Linked DNA regions of Canis lupus familiaris. The protein of the gene in region 2 purifies or fractionates together with the protein of the main gene of each other region. This does not show direct contact. Links are inferred from orthologs where the notes say so. Each region holds a gene or a part of one and is shown on either strand. Other genes may lie near its edges.

Region 1 (3,961 bases), on a different chromosome or scaffold from region 2:
TTCATACCTCCCTTTCTATAGTAAAACAAAACAAAACAAAACAAAAAACTGATGGATGATAACACACCTTTTGCTTTAAAAAAAAAGGGGGGGGGGTCTTAACGATGTCACTGGGAAGCCTCCTGACCTTCTATGTTCTTTTATTAAAAAGGCTGGAGGACGATATGATCTTCAAAGCCAGACATGACATTTCACCACTCTCTCCAGCCTTTGCAGACACACTGGAGGAGATTCCTTACATGGATCTATCCCTATTATACGACCTCTGGTTTTCCAGAATGGGAAACTTCTAATTGTATGTCCTGGTCTCCAAACTCACACTGACAAAACTCTGCCATAAGCGTTCAGGTGTGATTGTTACCTAAGAAAATGCTATGGGGCATAATCTACCAGGTACCACCTGTAAATCGAGAAAATTAAGCTTAAACCCATCTTTCTGAATGAACAAACGTTGTATCCTTATCCAATTCAATGCTCTTAAATGACTGTGACAAGACCAATTCTCTCATCACACACCTTTACATTAGCAATCTAAAACTAACGCCTTTTCAAAAACTGACAAATCAATCTGACTAAAAACGCAATTTGTCTATTTAAAAAATGCTAAGGGCCTCAAACTGCGGGGGGGGGGGGGGCGAAGAACTCTTAAGTTGCATTCTAAACTAGTGTTTGGTCAAGGGTTCCTATCAAGTATTTTAAGGAAGATTTCCATACCTGTCTTCATCGCCATCCACGGGAATAGCTATGCTGAACACAGAGGTGGCGAGACTGTTCATAGGTGTTAACTGAAGGGGGTTGGCCAGGGCATCTGCAACAGGAGGCTTCACGACAGGCTTAGTTTCAGCAATGAGAGAAAGTGGTGGTTGAGGTAGGGGTTCTGATTTTCTTCTGGTATCGTCGGCTTGCCCGACCAAAGGCTGGGTCTGAGTCTGGAACTGGCTTAGGTCAGCCTGCGGTAGACTCGTCGGTGCACTGGGTGTGCCTGGCGCTAAGGGCAGCCCACCGTGCGGGATTACGCTGCTGCTCCGGCTGACGGGCGTATGGCTGCTCAGCTGCTGCGACTGGGCCAGCGGCGCGGGGACATTTGGCATAGTAATGGAGGTGGTAGACGCACTAGGCACGCTTGGAGCGGGCGCGGCTGCAGGCACGTTTGGAACTCCGGGTAGAACGGCGTGGGGGCCGCCGGGCACGGCTGCCGGCGCCCCACTGCCACCCATCTGCGGCGGAGGCACGGACTGGGGCTGCACGGTCCCAGGGGGGACCAGGCCCGGCTGCACCGCGCATCCAAGAGCAGCCAGGGGCACTCCGGCCGGCTGACCGGGCGCCGCCTGTCCTCCGGGCGCGGGTCCCGGCCCCGGGGCCACGGCCTCGCCGGGCAGGGAAGCCACGCCCATTATCTGCGCCCCCACCGCGGCGGCAGTCGGGCCGGCGCCCACGGGAAGGCTCGCTCCGGCGCCGGTGGACGAGGGCTGCGCGGGGCTTGGCGGCTGCAGGCCGGCCACGTGCTGCTGTAGGTACTCACTCTGCCCCGCGGGCTGGACTGGCAGCAAATGCCCGGGCGGTAGCTGAGGCTGGGGGTACGCGAACGGCTGGGGCTGCTGCGTCGCAGGAGCGCCGACCGCGGGGCCCGGCTGCTGCGGCAGGGTTACATTCGTCAGCGGCAGCCCTTGTCCACTGGGGCCCTGCGGGAGGACGCCGGGGCCGGTTCCCTGGGGCTGGCTTGGCTGCGGGGCCGCGATCATTGGCTGTGGCCCGGCCGCGGCTCCCGGGAACGGCGGCACCGGAGCCGCGCTTTGAACCACAGCCCCACCTACGGGCGGCGGTGGCTGTGGCTGCCCAACGCCAAAACTCTGCGGCTGGGCCGGGGCGGGCTGGCTCATTTTCTCCGACGGGGGTAGCTGTGACACAGCAGTCAGGGAACTGTCAGTTCCCGAGTCGGGCCCGTGCGCCCCCGGCACGGAGGCCACCACCACCACCACCGACCCTCCGGTGGCGCCCAGGCCGCTGTCCCGCTCCGCAGTCTGGTCGAAAGTACTGCTGTGCCTAATGCAATCCCCGGACCTGGTCAGGACGCTGCTGTCTGAATCCCGCTCATAGTATTCCATGCACGTCCATCGGCCGCGTCGGTAGGGCTCCCCGCTCCCGTGGTCCAGCTTGATGACTCGAAAACGGGAACTGCAAGTGGTGGGGGGCTGTGCTGGGGCCGCAGTCCCAGGCCCGGCGGACGAGCCCGCCGCCGGGGGGGCGCCCGGTGCCCCCGCCGAGGGGGCCGCCGGGGTACCGGCCAGCGCGCCGGCCACGCTCCGGGCCGCCGCGGCTCCTCCTCCGTTGGCGGGAGCCGCCGCCGCGGCCGCCAGCTGTCCGTCCAGCAGGAGGTTCGGGGACACGGTCCCGGGAGTCTCCGCATCCCCAACATTGTTGAGCGTCTCTTCGGAGGAGCTGCGCTCGCAGACCTCCTCGGGGCCGTAGTCGGTGGCCCGAGACACGTCGAAGATCTCGGAGGACACGTCCTCTGTGCGCGACTCGTCCGGGTCGTCCAGGCTCTCGGTGTCCTCGGTGATGCTAGTGGCCACCTGGGCGGTGGTGACACTGGTGATCTGGAAGCAGCTCTTCTTCTTGGCCGGCATCTTGGACATGGTGAGGGAGGCCGGCGGGGGGCGGAGAGGCGCGCCGGCTCCTCCGCGGTGTGGCCGGAAACCGGCAAGGGGGGGCCCCCAGGAGGCAAAGTCCGAGTCCGCGCTGGGGTCGGGGAGGCCGGGCGGCCGCTGCTCAGAGCCCCCGGCCGCTCGGGGCGCCGGCCGCTCCGGGACGCATCCCTCCGCGCCGCTTCCTCCGGCTCTGCCCCCCGACGCCCTCGCGCGGCCGCTCCTCCTTCCTCGTCGCCTCCCGCAGCCGCGGCGCCTCAATTCAATCCCCTCGGCGGCGGCGCGGGCGCGGGCGCGAGGGCAGGGGCGGGCGGCCGGCTTCCTGCTCCCGGCGCCGGGGCCGCCGTGGTCGGCGCAGCTCGGCGCTCGGCGCGGTCCGCAGGCCTCGGCCGGGGGCGGGAGGGCGGCGGGAGGGCGGCGGGGCGGCGGCGGCGGCGGCGGCGGCGCGAGGGGCGGCGTGAGGGGCGGCGCGGCCCCGCTCGGGCTCGTCAGCGCCGGGAAGCAGGGGAAGCGGCGGCGAGTCCGGAGCCGGGGAGTCCGGATTCCGGCCGGAGCCGCGGGCTGGGGCGGGCTGGGGCGGGCTGAAGGTCCGCGGGCGGCCCCCTCCTCCCCGGCGTCAGCCGGAGCTCAGCCCCGGGGCCATGTCGGCCGTCTCCGGCGGAAGCCCGCTCCGGGGGAGGGAGGGAAGGCCGGCGCGGTCCTCCCCTCACGGGGGAGCCACCCCGCGGGCGGCGGCGACGGCGGCGGCGGCGGCCTCCCCGCGCGGCTCCTGAGAAGACTGAGGGGCGGCGGCGGCGGCGGCGAGCGGAGACGCTCCGGCTGCGTGAGGTAGCGAGCGGCGGGAGCTTCCTCGGCTCCTCCTCGGTGCGCCGGGTCGGCGGACCCCGGAGAAACTGAAAATTCAAACTGCTCAAGCGGCGGCTGCAGCTCCCTCCCCTCGGCCAAGATGGGGCTGAAATGGCCGCGCCAGGGATGCTGGGAGGAGCAGCAGCCCCGCTGCCGCCGCCGCCGCCTCTGTCGACTAAAATGCCGCCGCTGCCGCAGCCACCGCCAGCGCCGCAGCCGCCGCCGTTCCGTGACGCGCCGGCGTCGTGACGTCAGCGCCCCGCCCCCTCCGGTTTCCTGCAGTTTCGCGTGGAGGCTTGGGGAGGGGAGGGGAGGGGAAGGGTGGGCGGGGCTAAAGGTTTAAAAAAATAAAAAAGGGAGCTTTTTTTTTAAATTTAAATTTTTTTTTTTTTTTTTTTTTGAATTGAGCATTTACGCTTCAGGTCTTTAGGAGTTGAAGAGCGCAAAGCCTCCTAAATGCGCAGCCTGGA
Region 2 (4,298 bases):
CATCGGGCTTCCTGCTTCCTGCATGGCACCTGCTTCTCCCTCTGCCTGTGTCTCTCATGAATAAATAAAATCTTAAAAAAAAAAGAAAAACAAGGAGTAATTTGAAAAAGATTATGTATTATCAGCTTGCTTTCATTTTAAATTATATGCACATATATTAATACATGCACAGAAAAATGGATACATACATCAAAATCTTAATTCTTCTGTTGAAATAGGATTACAAGAGATTTTCACATTCTATAGCAATTGTTAATTCACAATATTCCATAGGATTCCTGTAAGGATTAAATGAGTTAATATGTCATAAGGCAATTGAAACAGTGGACCATAGCACATAGAAGATATTACATAAATATTTTTGAAATATTGTTTACAATAAATTTTATTAAAGCAGAATAAAATGAGGTGGCGAAAATGCAGTGTTTGAGCTGTTTAAACATGAAAAGTTAGAAATAAAATGAGAGCTGGAGGACGCCAATGGGTCCTCTATGCATATTTGAAAGAAGGAGTTAGTTAAAAAGGAAAGGTTAATAATGATAAGGTCCAAACAGAAGAGAATGGGAAACTATAATAATATTAACTGATATTTAATGAATGTTTATAGGGGAGCAGGTGCCCCAATTGCCTTGGAGCCCACAAGGAGAAAGGGTTAACCTGGAGAAAGGGAGAAACAACCTTCCTTTGAAGATTAGAACAAAAAGATTTTTAACTTCAGTCTTTTGAAATTATATGCTAAATTTAGGGGACAAATTCATTTCCTAAATATCCAAAACAAGATCCATAACTTTCATCAGATTTCTAAAAGAATGTGTGAGCCCTCTGAAACGTAAAAGAATCAAGGATGAAAGATTGGTTGCAAAAGTATTTTGAGATGAAGAGATAAGAAAACGAGAGGGCTTTTGCCATATATTCTTCTTTACATTAGTTAAGAGGATTAAGAGATACCCTTTAAGGACAGTGAAATTTAGTGATTATCGCATTGCCAAGTTCTGAAAACCGATTCATCCTCCTCCCTTCAAAATACACGTCTAATGGCAGAGCGAATTTCTACCGCTCAGGCTCAGCGTTTAGTTTTCGCAGACCAATGGGCTCACCCCGGATCTTTCCCTTTCACTTCCTTGAAGTCAATCCAAATTCTTTCCAAACATCTTTTCAAGGAAGCCTTTGATAAATCTTACTGTTTGGATGCTAGATTTGGCTCCTATCAACTTTTGGTGAATAGCCTTAATGCCTCTGATTTCGTTTTTTGCATGTGTCAGTTAGCCTTTCAATTTCTTATACGGATCAAACGAGTCATCTGTGAAAACCTCCTGCAAAGTTTTGGCAAAGGTCGGTGCTATGCAATTTTCAGGATACGTTCAGGAAAAATTTTAAGCTGAAGAACTGGTGTCCTGCGCAGTCTCGCCCCTTACAAATAATGAAAGTGGGTGGGCGCTCCTCCCGGTGTGAGGCTACGTCTTTCGCTCCTTTTGTCTTTTAGTCGGAACAGAACTGTCATGGCGCCTTCAAGAGGAGACGGAAGGCCTTCCTTTCGCCCGGCGGACTCATCGGGGGCACCTGGACTGGACGGAGGGGTGGACAGTGAGACCAACCCCAGCCGAGACCCAACACACCGATGCCTCCGAGAGGTCTCAACCGGACAGGCTCAAGGGGAGGAGACCGGCTTGGAGACTATGGCAGCGAGCGGCCGTCTTCCCGGGGCACCGCCCACCTTGGCCGCCCCATCCAATGGCAACCCAACGGCAGTGCGGCACCGCCCATCTGTTGGTCGGGACGCCGCGAGGGCGGGGCCCGCAGTTCGGTTGCGCTGCGGAGCGCAGCTGTGAGGGAGTCTCTCTGGTCCGCGGCCCCGAACCCGAGCTGGAGCTGAAGCGCAGGCTGCGGGGAGCGGAGTCGGGAGGTGAGCGCCGAGGGGAGGGAGCGGGAGGGACGGGTTCGGCGACCGGACAGAAGGGTCGGCTTCCGCGGCCCGACGCGCCGGGACCCCGGCAGGCGGGTGTCTGGAGGCTGCTCTGCTCGCTCGGCGGCCCGAGGCCCGGCCCGCCGGAGCCCAGGGGCCGCCCCGGCCCCACAGTCTCGGCCGGGCCCTCCCGGCCTGCCCTGAGTGGCGGCCACCCGGAATTCTGCCGGCGCGGGGCGCGGGGCGCGAGGCCCTGGCGTTCGTGTCGAACTGGGGCTGACGAGAGGCGGGGCCGGCCGCGGGGGCGGGGGCGGCGGTGGCGGGCCCCGCGGCCTGCGGAAGCGCAGCGTCGGGGCCGCGCCTGCTGGCGGAGGCCGGCGCGCCGACAGCGCGGGGGCGTGGCCTGCGCCCCTGACGGCGCCGCGGGGCTGGCCTTTGATGAGGTGGCGGCGGCTGGCTCCCGGGCCTGCGGGACCCGCGGCGCTCGCAAGCAGACGGCGGGCAGGGGACCTGTTGGAGCGTGAGGCCGTTCCCTGCGCTTGCTTTGACGTCTGACCACACAACCCTGTGGGTCCCGGAGGCCCTGTGGTCGGCTCGGGGTGAGGGCAGCCCAGAGGCCTGTGGCCTGCGAGCTGTTGCTGAGGAGTTGAAATGCAGAGGGGCTGCAGTCCAGTAAATGAAAGTCTCCGAGAAAAACTTTGCGCGACGATCTACCTACACTGCTCAGAAGTGAACACAGTATTCTCGGGGTGGCTGGAAGCGGCGAGGAGATTCCCTTGTAGGGGCGTGAATGGCCTTTTCCGTATGTGATCTCTTAAACCTCTGAACGACCCTGAGAAGAAAACCCCAGCGTTGCAAAGGTTTCTTCATCGGGAGGGGAAGTGCTAGGGCATCTTGGGCAGTGCCTTGGTTTTGCCTGCTGGGGAAAGATTGGGGAGGGAGAAAACAAGGACACGGCTGTGACTGGTAAAGGTTTGGCTTCTTTTGTGGTGCTTTACTGTGGATTGTCTGTGACCTGGGTCAAGAGGTTTCCTTAGAATCCATTGGCTACAGGCTTCCTGTATTGGAGCTCCAGTGGTATTTCCTATTGTCATCTAGCTGGAATTTTTACTGAGCTGTTCAGATTCAAGATGCATTCTATAAATATAGCTGCTCTAGAAAGTAATCCCTATGAACTTTCTTACCATTTTCTTAGTTGCTTTTCAGGGGGGAAGAAAAAGGAAAGTGATCTCTAACTGGTGTTCTGGTACATTACTAAGACAGCTTTCTTGTCTGGTTGAATAAAGTCTATGATAGGCAGGACCTAGATAATAACAGGCAAAGAATATCTTGCCAGATTTTCTCTGTAGTGCTTTATGGTTATCTGGTATTTACTAGAATGTCATCTTAATAAGAATCTGATTTGGGTTAAACATAGTGTAAATTGGGGGTGGAGATTGGCAGAAGGGAGTATCCAGGAGTTCTAAAATAAGAGCTTTTTGAAAGATTGTTGTTGATCAGAGGCTTCTGTATTCTGAATTTAGAGGAGGAAGTCTACTTTCCAGAATGTCACTTTCATATGGAGCACTCCTTTGAGCCCAGCACACACAGGTTTCAGCTCCGTCATAGCCTTTGTTCTTAGAGAGATGGAATAACATTCAGTGGTTGTCCTGCAACTGTCTGGATAAGTTAGCGACATTTAGCTTGTGAGAATTCTTTTTCTTCCAAATAGCCATGTGCCTTAAAAAAATATTGTACTATATAGTATTTTTTCTTGTAACTGCTGTATTTTGAGTTATTTGTTCTTTTTAAAAATTTTTTTGTTTTAAAGATTTTACTCATTTATTTGAGAGAGAGTGAGCTTGAGCAGGGGAAGTGGGAGCCAGACTCGGGGCTCAATCCCAAGATCATGTCCTGAGCTGAAGGAAGATGCTTAACAGACTGAGCCAACCCGGCACTCCTTGAGTTATTTGTTTATGAGGGAATATCTCTGTCAGATCTGGTATCCCCGAGGGTGGAGCCTTTGAGCTGTTTGGATGAAATGAAAGCTGGAAGCTGAAAGTTCTAGATTTGTTTAAATTTGTGGTTCCATAAATGTGGGCATCTCATTTATTTTATTCACTATTTTATCTCTGGTACCTAGCCCAGTGCTTGGCCTACAGTAAGTGCTTAATAAATATTTGTTGAATGAGTGAATGAAAAAAAAATGTTGCTAACCAATACCCATTTGCACACTCACATCACAGGGGAGGTGAGGGCATCAGGGATGAAGTCACTAACCACTGCCAGTTACCTGGCCCAAGGGTATCCTCAGCATGGACTAGTAGACTTGATCTATGTGTAGGAGGGATGGATAGCAAATGCCAGAATTCTAGTGGAATAAATTAGCTTGAGGGTTTCATCTGGATAAATTGGC

The links.
Region 1: the proteins of NRBP1 (region 2) and TSC22D2 purify together in Homo sapiens (affinity purification with mass spectrometry; 5 studies listed by BioGRID and IntAct, with this or other methods). This does not show direct contact. The link is inferred for Canis lupus familiaris from reciprocal best matches to the Homo sapiens genes NRBP1 and TSC22D2.

What each region holds. Positions count from the first base shown.
Region 1 is NC_049244.1:45,606,795-45,610,755, reverse strand, and holds the start of TSC22D2 (TSC22 domain family protein 2), read right to left. Parts: upstream 2,806-3,961; 5' UTR 2,637-2,805; coding exon 715-2,636; intron 1-714. UniProt on the Homo sapiens protein: Reduces the level of nuclear PKM isoform M2 which results in repression of cyclin CCND1 transcription and reduced cell growth.
Region 2 is NC_049238.1:21,440,632-21,444,929, forward strand, and holds the start of NRBP1 (nuclear receptor-binding protein), read left to right. Parts: upstream 1-1,498; 5' UTR 1,499-1,731; coding exon 1,732-1,903; exon of another isoform or gene 1,904-2,005; intron 2,006-2,366; exon of another isoform or gene 2,367-2,502; intron 2,503-2,528; exon of another isoform or gene 2,529-2,554; coding exon of another isoform or gene 2,555-2,705; exon of another isoform or gene 2,706-2,763; intron 2,764-4,298. UniProt on the Homo sapiens protein: Required for embryonic development. Plays a role in intestinal epithelial cell fate and proliferation, thereby involved in the architectural development of the intestine potentially via the regulation of Wnt-responsive genes.